Linked DNA regions of Caenorhabditis elegans. The gene in region 1 interacts genetically with each later gene. Each region holds a gene or a part of one and is shown on either strand. Other genes may lie near its edges.

What was found.
Region 2: of attf-3 (region 1) and eor-1, changing one enhances a phenotype caused by changing the other (phenotypic enhancement), as found in Caenorhabditis elegans (one large-scale study listed by BioGRID).

Annotation. Positions count from the first base shown.
Region 1 is NC_003281.10:83,342-88,133, forward strand, and holds the start of attf-3 (C2H2-type domain-containing protein), read right to left. Parts: upstream 3,044-4,792; 5' UTR 3,037-3,043; coding exon 2,866-3,036; intron 2,807-2,865; coding exon 2,686-2,806; intron 2,637-2,685; coding exon 2,428-2,636; intron 1,825-2,427; coding exon 1,631-1,824; intron 1,431-1,630; coding exon 1,314-1,430; intron 1,058-1,313; coding exon 865-1,057; intron 458-864; exon of another isoform or gene 400-457; intron 293-399; exon of another isoform or gene 240-292; intron 218-239; coding exon 89-217; intron 1-88. Other genes in the region: F54C4.4 (NAM-associated domain-containing protein), read right to left, coding at 3,439-3,555, 3,608-3,777, 3,846-3,918; mrpl-40 (Large ribosomal subunit protein mL40), read left to right, coding at 4,223-4,345, 4,424-4,554, 4,598-4,664, 4,707-4,792.
Region 2 is NC_003282.8:4,793,176-4,801,242, forward strand, and holds eor-1 (Zinc finger protein), read right to left. Parts: upstream 6,013-8,067; 5' UTR 6,002-6,012; coding exon 5,920-6,001; intron 5,859-5,919; coding exon 5,578-5,858; intron 5,523-5,577; coding exon 5,409-5,522; intron 5,351-5,408; coding exon 5,208-5,350; intron 5,163-5,207; coding exon 4,989-5,162; intron 4,934-4,988; coding exon 4,676-4,933; intron 4,628-4,675; coding exon 4,554-4,627; intron 4,452-4,553; coding exon 4,267-4,451; intron 3,493-4,266; coding exon 3,294-3,492; intron 3,238-3,293; exon of another isoform or gene 3,089-3,237; intron 2,838-3,088; coding exon 2,654-2,837; intron 2,445-2,653; coding exon 2,344-2,444; intron 1,693-2,343; coding exon 1,484-1,692; intron 1,434-1,483; coding exon 1,251-1,433; intron 822-1,250; coding exon 532-821; intron 470-531; coding exon 217-469; 3' UTR 19-216; downstream 1-18. Other genes in the region: dpf-7 (Dipeptidyl Peptidase Four (IV) family), read right to left, coding at 6,424-6,774, 7,061-7,177, 7,225-7,363, 7,568-7,929, 7,980-8,067.

The DNA.
Region 1 (4,792 bases):
TCTGAATTTTTTGGGGAAAAAATCGCAAAAATCGCCGATTTTCAACCTAAAAACCTCGAATTTTCACATTTTTTGCCTAAAAACTCACCGAAAAATGGTGTTTATTGTCGAAACTTTGAGAAATCATAAGTGCCAAGCCGCCGTGAGTTATTGTGTGATCAGCCAGCTGAGCGTACGTGTGGAAGGAGCTTTTGCAGTAGAAACACGACAAAACCGTCTGAAAAATTGGAATTTTGGACCATTTTAAGCCAATTTTGGACCATTTTAAGCCAATTTTGGACCATTTTAAGCCAATTTTGGACCATTTTAAGCCAATTTTGGACCATTTTAAGCCAATTTTGGACCATTTTAAGCCAATTTTGGACCATTTTAAGCCAATTTTGGACCATTTTAAGCCAATTTTGGACCATTTTAAGCCAATTTTGGACCATTTTAAGCCAATTTTGGGCCATTTTAAGCCAATTTAGGACCATTTTAAGACAATTTAGGACCATTTTAAGACAATTTAGGACCATTTTAAGACAATTTAGATCATTTTAAGTCAATTTAGATCATTTTAAGTCAATTTAGATCATTTTAAGTCAATTTAGATCATTTTAAGTCAATTTAGATCATTTTAAGTCAATTTAGGACCATTTTAAGCCAATTTTGGATCATTTTAAGGCTATTTAGATCATTTTAAGGCTATTTAGATCATTTTAAGCCAATTTTGAACCATTTTAAGCCAATTTTGAACCATTTTAAGCCAATTTTGAACCATTTTAAGCCAATTTTATTATTTTTCACGAATTTCAGTCGAATTTTCACGATTTTTTGCAATTTTTCAGCATTTTCATTCAAATTTCAGCCCGAAAAAGCCCGTACCATGACTCGATTATCATCGGGCCGCCACTCGGGATGAGCTTTTCGTAAATGTGTGCTTCTGGTCGACCGGGACCATCCCCGCCACTGACAAAGTGGAAAATGACAGTTGTATGTGCCATTTGAGTTGTATCCTGGAGCATTTCTCTTACGTTCAGCGTGCTCATTCGGGTGCACTTTTCGCATGTGTGAAGATCTGGAAATTTGGCGGTTTTTGGCTGAAAATTCAAGTTTTTCAGTAAAAATTCAGCTGGAACCATCTCAAAAACCATTTTTTTCACCTAAAAATGATGAAAATCATCTTTTTTACACTAGAAAATAGTGGAAAAAAACGAAAAATTCAATGCCGACCAATCAGCGATGTGCAGGGGGCGTGGCCAACGTCGCTGATTGGTCGGAACGTTTTTGGCTCATTTTCAGCCAATTTTCGGGAATTTTGGTCCATTTTTCACCTTGAAGCCCGGAAATTTCCTCTCCAATTGCATCCTTTCACCTGACAAGCGTATTGAGGCACATGCTCTTCCGGATTTACGTATTTTCCGTCTTTCGAGATTCTTTCCAGCAGGAATCTGTAAAAAATCGAGTTTTAAAGTGAAAATTCGCAAAAAATTCGAAATTTTCGATTTTTTGACGGGACATTTGGTTAAAATTGCCATTTTCCTTCAATTTTCGACTAAAAATAGCAATTTTAGGTCATTTTTCACGATTTTAAGGTCGAATTTTGCCGAAAATCACGATTTTTCTAGTTAATCATAGATTTTTCCAGCACCTTGAAGGCATTTTCCATTCGGGGTGAATCGCTTTCATATGATCCATACGAAGTGATCGATAGCCGCCTTTCCACAGACAATCCGGCATATAGCACTTATATTTTCCGTTGGCATCTCCAATGGTAAGTCTGTCCGGTAGACGATCGTTCGGGTACCGGCGGAATGCAGTTCGAGTCCGGTTTTGAACAAATTTCTGGAAAAACTGAAGGAATTAGCAGGTTTTTGAGGTGAAATTTGAGTTTTTCGCGGTTTTTTACGTATTTTTCGGGCTTTTCTGGGTTAAAATGTAATTACATAATTATTTAAATATTTTTAACAGATCATTTTTGGGTCTGCTAAATAATTAGCAGACCATTTTTGGGTCTGCTAAATAATTAGCAGACCATTTTTGGGTATGCTAAATAATTAGCAGACCATTTTTGGGTATGCTAAATAATTAGCAGACCATTTTTGGGTTTGCAAAATATTTAACAGACCAAAGTTGGGTATGCTAAATAATTAGCAGACCAAAGTTGGGTATGCTAAATAATTAGCAGACCATTTTTGGGTATGCTAAATAATTAGCAGACCAAAGTTGGGTATGCTAAATAATTAGCAGACCAAAGTTGGGTATGCTAAATAATTAGCAGACCAAAGTTGGGTCTGCTAAATAATTAGCAGTCCAAAGTTGGGTCTGCTAAATATTTAGCAGACCATTTTTGGGTATGCTAAATATATATTCTCGTCCATTTTCATCAGTTTTGGCTCAATTTTCACGAAAATTTTTCTCGAAATTTACAAATTTTCCTCGATTTACCGAATCCAACATAGGACTATCGTCATTTTCCTCGTCTTCCTCATGATCAATAACCACTTCTTGGCCGACAATCATGGAATTTCCGTCTAAATTCATGTCCGAGCCGCCCATCAGCTGATAATTGGCTCCACGGCGAACATAATCCCCAAGGGAAGTCTCTTCGTCAATAATTCCGAGTCCGTGAAGGCGAGAAGCTTCTTTATCGGTTCCTGGAAGCAAAAAATCGTTTTTTCACAGATTTTTTAAAAGATTTATTACTTATTGCCGAATCATCCACACATTCCACTATCGTTTTCGGACGTTTTCGACCGCCGAGAAGCTGTTTTGTGGTGACTCGTTGCAGTGGAACCGGAGAATCTTCGTATTTTTTCGGTCGGCCCTGGAAAAAATTAAATTTTTTTTCGTTTTTCAATCAGAATCTTGAAATATCCGCCTTACCCTTGGTTTTTTATCATCTTCCTGACCTTCTGGCCGTGGATGTCTGTGTCTTTTGTGTGCACTGAGACTTCGATCGGATTTCCCGACGTATTCGCATAAATTGCACTGAAAATCGATATTTGTCGGCACATTCACCACGTCCACATCGTCCTGCTCATCGTTTTTCATCATTTTTTAGCTGAAAAATAACATTTTTCAATTTATTTCGTTAATTTCTTTGCATTTTTCCATTTAAATTCGAAAGCGAAGACGAGAGAGCATGCAAAAACGAGAGAGCGGGAGAGAAAAAGAAAAGGATAAACAATGTTTTCGGCGGCATTCGGAGCGTCGTCAGACGCGCGCTGCGAGACCCAACAGACGGGAAATGTCATGCGCCTTTGATTTTACAATTTATTTCGGCTATTTATTGCGGTTTTTTTGCAGTTTTTCGCTCAATTTTCTTCTAAAATTTGAATAATACATGATAAAAAAAAAATACATAATTTATTTCGACAGCGATTGATACATAATTTCACAAATTTACATGGATTTTTGCCACAAAATTAAAAAAAAAATAAAATAAAGAAAGCACATTTAAAGTTTATTCATTTGCTTCTCCAAATGTTCCATATCCCGCGCATCGGCTGACTTTGTGATTCTATCGAAAATAAGCTTCTGCGTCTCCTCTAACATCTTGAGTTGCTCTTTATTCTGTAAAAAATCGGCTTTTAGGTTGGAAATTTTATTTTTCTAAAAAACGTACGCTTTTCATACTGGTAGCTTGAGATAATCGGCTCTTCATGCTGCTCAGAAACTCGTCAAAGTCCGATTTGGCGGGTTTCTTGTGAATTCCAGAGTTTTTGACTTTTGGAATGGCGTTTTTCGGTTTTTTCGACGCTTTTTCGGTTTTCGATGCACTACAGTTGCTATTTGCTGAAAAAAAATTCGATTTTATTTGAAAAAAAACCTGAATTTTAATAAAAATTTGATAAAAAACTCACAATTGGCAGAAATCCCTGAAGAACTCTGCTCAGCAGCCATCATGGTCTCCTCGTCTTCGAAAATGGTTTCCATAGTGTTTTAGCTGCCAAATCCTTATTAAAACTCAAAAATTGTCAATAAAAACGCGGAAAATTGTCCGAAAATCGATTAGGGACGACGAGAGAGTGTGGGGAAGTGAGAGACGGAGCTTGTGTAGATTTACGGTGAACAACGCGTGGGGGTGGGATAGCGGAGTGTCGTTTGGGAATTTATTTTATTAAATTTTTATTGTTTTTGTTGATTTTTAGGAGGTTTCCTTGGTTTTTTCGACTATTTTCTTCAGAATTTTGATGATTTTGATGTAAAATCACTTCAAATTCCAATTTTTCCAGGTAAAATGAGCTCCAGCCTGCTTGCGAGCCTCTCCCGGCTCTCCCTACTTCAAACCCGCCAAATTCATCAAACAATTCCCGCCGGCTCCTCGGTTTTTATGAAAAGACAGAAGAAAATTGATCCGGAGGTAGAGAAAATTACAGTTACTCATTGAATAAAACGGGAAATTTAATAAAAATTGAGAAAAAATTCAAAAATTTTCCAGGTAGCAAAGCAGCGAGAGACCCGACGCAGAAAACGGCTGGAAAAGGATATTCGTCAGATGCAAAAGCACTCGAAAAAGCCGAAACCAGTGGATGAGCTCACTTTGGACGTGAAATCCGCGAAAAATATCGGGTTTTTCAGCGATTTTCTGCCTAAAAACTCGGAATTCTTACAGAGAACGCCGCCGCCCACGCACCGAGCTCACCTTGGAGCAAATTGACGAACGAGCCATCGCTCTGAAGGTAAAAATCTGAGAATTTCGCTTCAAATCCGTGGATTTTCAGGATTATACACGCTCCCGGTTGGCTTTGCAGCAGGAGGATGACGCGTGGATTCGTGGAGCCATCGAATCGCAGAGAAAAGCTCTAAA
Region 2 (8,067 bases), on another chromosome or scaffold:
AAACAATGTTTCAGTTAAAAATGTCATCTATAATTTCATAAATTTATTTATAACCATAAAAACCATTTAGGACTAATTAGGCATTAAACAAGGAGATCATACACATATCAAAATGAAGGCATTAAGAACAATTTGAAACATGTTACAAGAAAAGGCAAAGATAGTAAAGGGGTTTTTTCAAAAGTGAGGTTTTAGGCAGTTTCAGGACTATATTTATTATTGTACATTCCACGGATTCCATGCATTATTGGAATTATCTTGATTATTCGGGGTTCCAGTCGGTGGAAGCCCGGCTGCTTGTAGTTGTTGTTGAAGTTGCTGGAGTTGAGCCGCCTGAGCCAAATCCATTTGTCCGTAGGTTGGAAGTGAGAATGGACGGAGTTGCTGTTGTTGCTGCTGTTGTTGTGGATCAGAGTTTGTGGAGAGATTGTTGAATTGCGGTTGGACAGCACTCCGGTTATGTGGAGATCTGGAAAATAATGTTTAGAATTAATGCGGCACTGCTTTTTGCAAAATTTACAGGTAACAAACCTCATCACCAAGTTAGGTGTCATCAAAACTCCATGTGTATTGTCTGATCCTTCAGGTCCACCACCACCACCACCTCCTTGACCACCTCCAACAGAATCTCCCGGTGAATCCTGTCGCTGCATCTGATGATGATTGTCCCGTAATGGAACATTCATCATAGACATACAGCCAGGTGATTGGGCATGATGTTGATGTTGAGATGGATGAACGACTGAGAAGGCACGCTGAGGAGATGAAGGGTTGCCGTAAGTTGATGGTCCACCGTAATCGTTGGGATTCGGAGAGTACGTCTGGAAATTGATAAATGAGAAATTTCTAGATTCTAAGTTTGTATAACCCCAAACGGCCGATTTTTCAAAAATCCCAAAAACCATCAATTTTTCCTTGTCGAAGCAGCTGAAATATAGTTTCTATTAAACTATAACCCGTTATTGCATATTTTCGGTACTAGATCTTGCTGAAATTCGCCGATTTAGGCACTTTTAAAGTCGATAGGCATCCAAAAATCATCAATATTGGCATAATATGACCAAAATTGGATGCTTATTGACTTTAATAGTGCCTAAATCGGCGAATTTAAGCAAGATCTAGTACCGAAAATATATGCAATAACGGGTTATAGTTTGAAAGAAACTATATTTCAGCTGCTTCGACAAGGAAAAATTGGCGAAATTTCAGAAATTCTGTCGCTTGGCTCTTCGTTAATTCAATAAACCTACCGAAAAGTCATTAGTAGCCTGCCAATTGCTAACAGCATCATCAGAAGTAATTGGACGGAACAGAGCATCCGGATTATTCACAATATTGCTCGCGGCAGCCAACATTCTCTGTCTCTTATACTTTCTTCGTTGAGTCTTTTGGAATGTGAGCACTTCCGAATTGTGATGCTTGATGATGTGCTCCTAAAAATTATGAAAATTATCAAAAATTATCATCTAAAATGCTCAAAAACCTTAAGCTTATCACGCCGACTAGATGCATATTCACACTGATCACACTTGAACGGCTTCTCCTCCAAATGAATCCTCTCGTGACGGACCAGATGTGATTTTTCGATGAATCCACGGCCACAGATCTTGCAGAGATGGGCGCGAACCGCCATGTGGGTACGGAGATGGGCCGCCAGTTGGCTTTTTTTGGTCGACGAGTAGTCGCAACCGGCTGAAAATTAACAGTAATGTTTTCAGGATCTTTAAATATGTCATTTTATAGTGTAGTTTTCAGGATCTTTAAATATGTCATTTTATAGGAAAAATAACAAAAAATTGCTCAGATCAACTCCATAGCTGTTTAAACAATACTCCATGTTTAAAAACTCGAAAAAATTACGCACAGCGTGAAGCGAGCTGGGAAAGGCCCTGCATTGGAGAAGAAGAAGCTCTGAGAAAAGTTCTCTGCAAAAGCGCAAAAACTAATGAAACACGTCGAAATGATTTTATGTCGAGCGCGACGATAAAACCATTACCAAATACCTACAGTACCCCAGTGTGTGTTCGGCAGAAAAAAAAAGTGAAAGTGATATGATCCACAGATGATCTAACCACTGTTTCTATCTTCAGCCGCCGTTTTCTTTCGTTTTTTCGACCATTTTTTGTGCGGAAAAGGCGGCGCTGTGTCGCCAAGGAGAAACGAAAATTAATGGAATAGTACGGGTGATAAGGAGACGCAGCGAGGGGGGTTTTTGGTTGGAAAAAAGTAGAAGTGAACTGCGCAAAAGTCATCCAAATGATGGATCGGTTGGCAGGTGATAACGGAACTATTCTGGCATTCAGTGTATTCCAATGCGTGGTGTTACAGGAAATACAAACTGACCAATGTGACAGCTAAAATTGTCTCCAGTATGTTGACGACGATGAAGGGAAAGATGATCGGCGGTTTTGGTGGCGAAACCGCAATCCTCACAGATATAAGGCCTGAAATTTGGAAGAATTTGATGGAAATTGTGAAAATTCTGAATTTGAATAAAAGTCGCCTTGTTTGGTTTTGAGACAATTATTATTATTGCCTCCAAACGTTACTAGCAAAATTGGAATTGCCTCAAAATCAGATCTTGCATGGTTTTTTATTTCAAATTCGCACATTATTAACTTTCAGATCTCGAAATTTCATAGTAAAAACTTACCTAGGATCATTATGACTAGCAACATGATGATCCAATGTACTATGCTGTTGGAATCCTCTTCCACACTCTTCACAGTGTAATGATCGATCATCGAGTACAGAATGCATTCGTTCGTGAGCAAACAGTTGAGAACGAGTTCGACCTTTCCATGCACATTCACCGCATTTGAAGAAACGCTCGTCGGCTGAAAATTTGACAATTTTAGAGGGTTTTTTTGTTTCTTTTAGAAAGTAATTTTGGAAAACAATTTTATTCAGCCGTTTTTTTTCGGTTTTAATGTGTTTCCTTCGGCAAAGTCAACGTGTGTCTGATGGTAAATTTAAAAAAAAAACAGAAAATTGAAAGCTTAGCTATTCATTCGATTTTTTGGAGATTAATTAAAAATTTAAATTGATATTGTTGGTAAATTCTGAAAATATGAAAAAAACATTATCGATCAATTTTTTTACAAAAATTAATTTTCATAATTTGGTTTTTTAAATGAAAATAGGTTTATATTTCAAGAAACATTGTGAATTTCAGAAAAAGAAACGATTTATCTGAAAATACATTTAATTTTTTTGTAGTTTCAAAAAAAAAGAGTTTTTTTTTCAAAATTAAAAAATGTACGTTTTTTTCCAAAATTTTTGTAAAAACTCACTATGCTGAAGCCTATGGGTCAAAAACTCTTGTATCTCATTTGAAGTGAACGGACACGTTTCACATCGATACGGTATCTCTGTCCAGTGCTCAGCACAATGAAGATAGAATTGTTTGCTCCAATTGGTTTCAAATTCACATAAATGACACATATAATACGTATTGCGATTGTGATGACGAGCTTTGTGCTTTTCGAGAAGCTGAAAATATGAGGAAATTGTTGAAGAATCGATCGAAATATTTTACAACACTTTTCTGGTTTTTTTTTTTTTTTGGTTTTTTGGAACATAAAACTCATAAAACCAGCAGAAGATCGTTCGTACACGAGTTTGTTTTTACATTTTCCCAAAATATGGAACTTTACATCAAAATATTTTTAAAAAAATAAATTATGCATGAAAGTTTCCAAATTGTGCTGTAATTCTTTAAAAAAATATTTTTAAAGATATATATTATATAGACACAAAAATTTGCAATTTTCGAGCCTGGTCTCGACACGACAAATTTTCGTTAGAACCGAAAACAATTATGCGCCTTTAAAGATTACTGTACGGTGTTTTTGTTGATTTTTCATAGTTTTTTTTTCTAAAATTTAAGCTTTTTAAAAACTATTTAAATTTCGGAATATTTGGTTGATAAATAAATATATTTTATCGAAAAACTAAAAATAATCGATAAAAACTCCTCAGATTGAAAATACAGTAATCTTTAAAGGCGTAAATTTTCTTGATGTAGCCAAAAATCGTCGTGTCGAGTTTTGTATATTAAATAAACGCCAAAATATGAAATTTTCGCCAAAATCTGGTCAGGTCTCACCACACCGACAACAGGTTACTGTAGCCCATTGTTCGGTGTGTCGAGACCTTTTTGACGTCTAAAAATAGAATAAATCATATTGACGGTTTAAATTTGAGAAAAATAATATTTTTTTCGCATTTTTTCAAGGTTTTAATTGATTTATTTTTTGTCAATACCTCCTCATTTGCAGTCCGCAGTCCACAGAAAATACAAGTGGACGGTCCATTCTCATCAGGTTGATCTTCTTCATCTTCACAATCATCTGGATCCAAATTGTCAACTGGTCCATAGGTATGACATCCTTCCAATGAACATGTAGCATATACACCATCAATTTCGTCTTCGTCGATCCATGGAATACCTGGAAATTTTATTGATAAGGAATTTGACAGAAGATTTCTTCAATTTTTGATTTTACAATTTCACAAAATCCCTTTTTTTTTGAGAAAAAAAACCAGCTCACTTTCATTTTCCGTCGCATTAATCGGTGGAATTGGGTGCAAATGATGTTTTTTCATTCCTTTTGGTCGTTTTAATCTAAAATTTTCCATTGAATTTTATCAATTTTTTCATATAATCACTAACCGCTTCTTCTCATTTCCCGGCTGGAATGCAATCTTCATTTTCAGTCGATTATTAACATCATTTCCGTATTCAACAACTTGTGCAGATGTTGGATGTCCATCAGCTATATAATCATCTGGATCCTCTTCAGAATCACTTGAATCATAAATATCATCTTCAAATTGAGATGGATCGTGGAGAATCGGAAGATCAACGATTTTCTGACGAAGACTGCTCAGTTGAGTCGAGTACTTTTCCATAAGCATGTTATTTGTTTCCCTACAAAAATTATTTCATCAGTAATAATTTTGTAAACTTTAACAACTCCACTTACATGACATGTAGTAGCAAAAATCGACTTTTCTGACTTTTCGATAGCAACGGCGAGTAATCCAGAAGAAATTCCAGTGTGTCAGCTGAAACTTCTCGAAATTCGCAGGATTCTAGTAGTAATCGGAAGATTTCCTCTCGCTTCGATACTTCTTCACCGACCCAGCGGACTATTAATCTGAAAAAATTACTGTTTTAGTCATTTTGGAACGAAAAAACTCACTTTAAATAAGTGTCAGAAGTAATACAATCCACGTATTTCGGATCTCCAATGAGTCTTGTCAGTTGTGTATACGTGTAACCAATTATATCTCTGGATTCCAGTAAACATCGATTAAGATTGCTGTCAAAGTAGTCTGTAGCAGACTGAAAAAAGAAATTCGAAGTTTCTCGCTTTTAAAGCTTTAAAAATTCAAATTCTTACTTTCACAAGTCCTGGTAGATTATATCTCTGAGCTAACGTTCGTATTGATAAGCAATTGGCCGCGTCTAGATATCGATCCAAATAAGCTGCACAATACACTTTTAGCTTCACTATCTGAAAAAAACGGAATTATAGCAGGAATAGTCGATCGAAAAATCAATAATATTACCAGAAAATTATTTGCAAATCTCAATAGCTCCGAAACACTTGATCGATCGATAATCACTGTTCCACTGTACATATAATTGAGGAATAACTCGAAAACTTGTGGAGATTTGCTATTTATTGTGAGCTGTTCCTTTGTGATTTTGCAATATTTGAAAATTGCGTCAAAATATGGACTGTGAGCTGCTAAAATGTTTCGATGAGCCGCAAATGATTTGTTTTGAACAACAATTTCCACATCACAAAATCGGCCGGTTTTTCGTTGATATTGTAATCGTTGGAACACTGAAAAATAAAAGTTAATTTAATTATCAAGCCAAGATTGAATTAAATACAAAACTCTTACACATATGACTGGTTTGCCCAGAACTATCATCAAATGTCATTGGACAGAGCCCTGTGTTTTCGGAACTAGCTACTAATGTCATCTGAAATTAAATTGAAATAATTTTCATTGCGATTTTATAATTTATTCGATGGGAAACTCACATTTTATCGAGGAAGACGTCAATAAACTTAGAATAAATGCTCCGATTCAAATCGGGTGAGGAGTGTGCAGACGCGCTCTACTGAACAATCTAAAAGATTATCGATTTGCAAATATTATTTCAATGGATTTTTAACGATAGTTATATATTTAACGAAATTCAAATTTTATTCGAGATTTCAAAAAAAGAAAATATATATCTGAGCATAACGACACATAAAAAATTTAAAACTGAGCGAAATTCCAATTTGTAACATATTTTAACAACGAATTAAAGCTGATGTAGACATTGTTCTAATCGGCGTTTTTTTAATGAATTAACAATATAAGTTAGTAATAATTCAAGAAAGAAAAAATAAATAATTAATCATCAGGAACCGGCGTTTCAATTCTAGAACCATTCTCGTATTCTCCATATGGTGTTCTATAAAATTGAATGACTTTCACAACGAAATCATTCACTTGTTCGTCTTCTTCTTCGTATTCTCCAAAACACGGAACGCCATTATTGTGAATTGTAGACTCAAAATCTTTGTACTTTGTATCGCTTTTATTCTCCAGAACAATCAACATCGGAGTAACAATTTCAGACGCATGTGAGACCGGCTCCACGTCTTTCAGAAATTCAGCTTCAGGGTTTTCTGTATCAACTGCACACGTTGTGAATGGAAATTCGAGCATCGGCCGTACGAGTGCACATCCTTTATAGAATTTCTGAAAATAGTGAATTAAAAAATATGAAAATCCATGAGACGCTAAATTTTGTGATTTTCGTGCCAAAAATAGAAAAATATCGGGGTAACGACACGACATTTTTTGAAAGTTAAAGGTGGAGTACCGAAATCAGAGACTTTGTTTTTTTTTAACTATAATGTCGCAAAACTGACGGATCTATCAATAAAACTTTCAAAATATTTCTGAAGAAAACATGTCGTGTCGAAACCGGGTATTGTATTTTTCACCAAAAATCGCAGAATCTCGCGTCGATGTAATATCCCACCTTATGTTTGATAATCAGACTACACGCCACAAAAGATCCAAATTCAAATCCATACAAGTAAATATATTTTTCATCTAACCGCGCTCCGTGTCTCTCGAGAACTTCTAGTACAGTTTCCTGTAAAAAAAATCATAAAATGAGGAAAAAAACGAACGATTCTCTACATGAACATCATTAATACATTCCGAACCACAATTCTTTGGAAAGCAGGTTCCTGGAATTGCTATAAATGGCTCCCGATAGTTTACAACTAGCACACAGAAGCCACAAGTTACCATTGTAGAGAGCACAGGGTCAACGGTACTGAAAATTTAAATTTAATTTTAAATTTATAAATCAATTCTTTATAAACAGGGAAAATTGCTATTTGAACATTTTTAAATTAAAAAAATAAAGATAGAAAATTGCGGTTGAAATTGAAAGCTCGATCCGTGAATTTTGCAATTCTTTCGATGCTTTTTTTGTTGATTTTTCAATAAATTTTGAGTCTAAAGAAAAAAAATCTACCTAACGGTGAAATTAGGTTCTAATCCGGAAAAGGGGACCACGACCAGCGGGAACTTCGATCCGGGAGAAACACATTCCGGCAACATGTAGAGTATCGCAGAATTGCCAATTTTTTGAAAACTCATTGGATAAATGTGAAAATTGTGAATCGTATCGTTTTCTGGCTTGTGTGTGCATAACAGCGATGCCGTGAATTTACCATCACTTTGTGAGCCCAATTGAGAATGCCAAAGACGAGAATAAGCGTTTGCTGTGATCGTTTCAAAAAGGAATTCATCGCCTCGAACATCAATAATTAGTGAAGGCCGTTTCAAGTCAAGGCACGTGGTTCTTAAACTTTCAACGTGAATCGCCAAATTATTCTGGAAATAAATTTATTTTAATGCAGAATTAAATCGAATATATTTGTTACCACTTGATTCTTGTAATTCGTGTTAAACAATAAATGCTTTCCATTGCAAGCCCACGGCCTATCGGGAACGCTCCATACTTTCGATTTT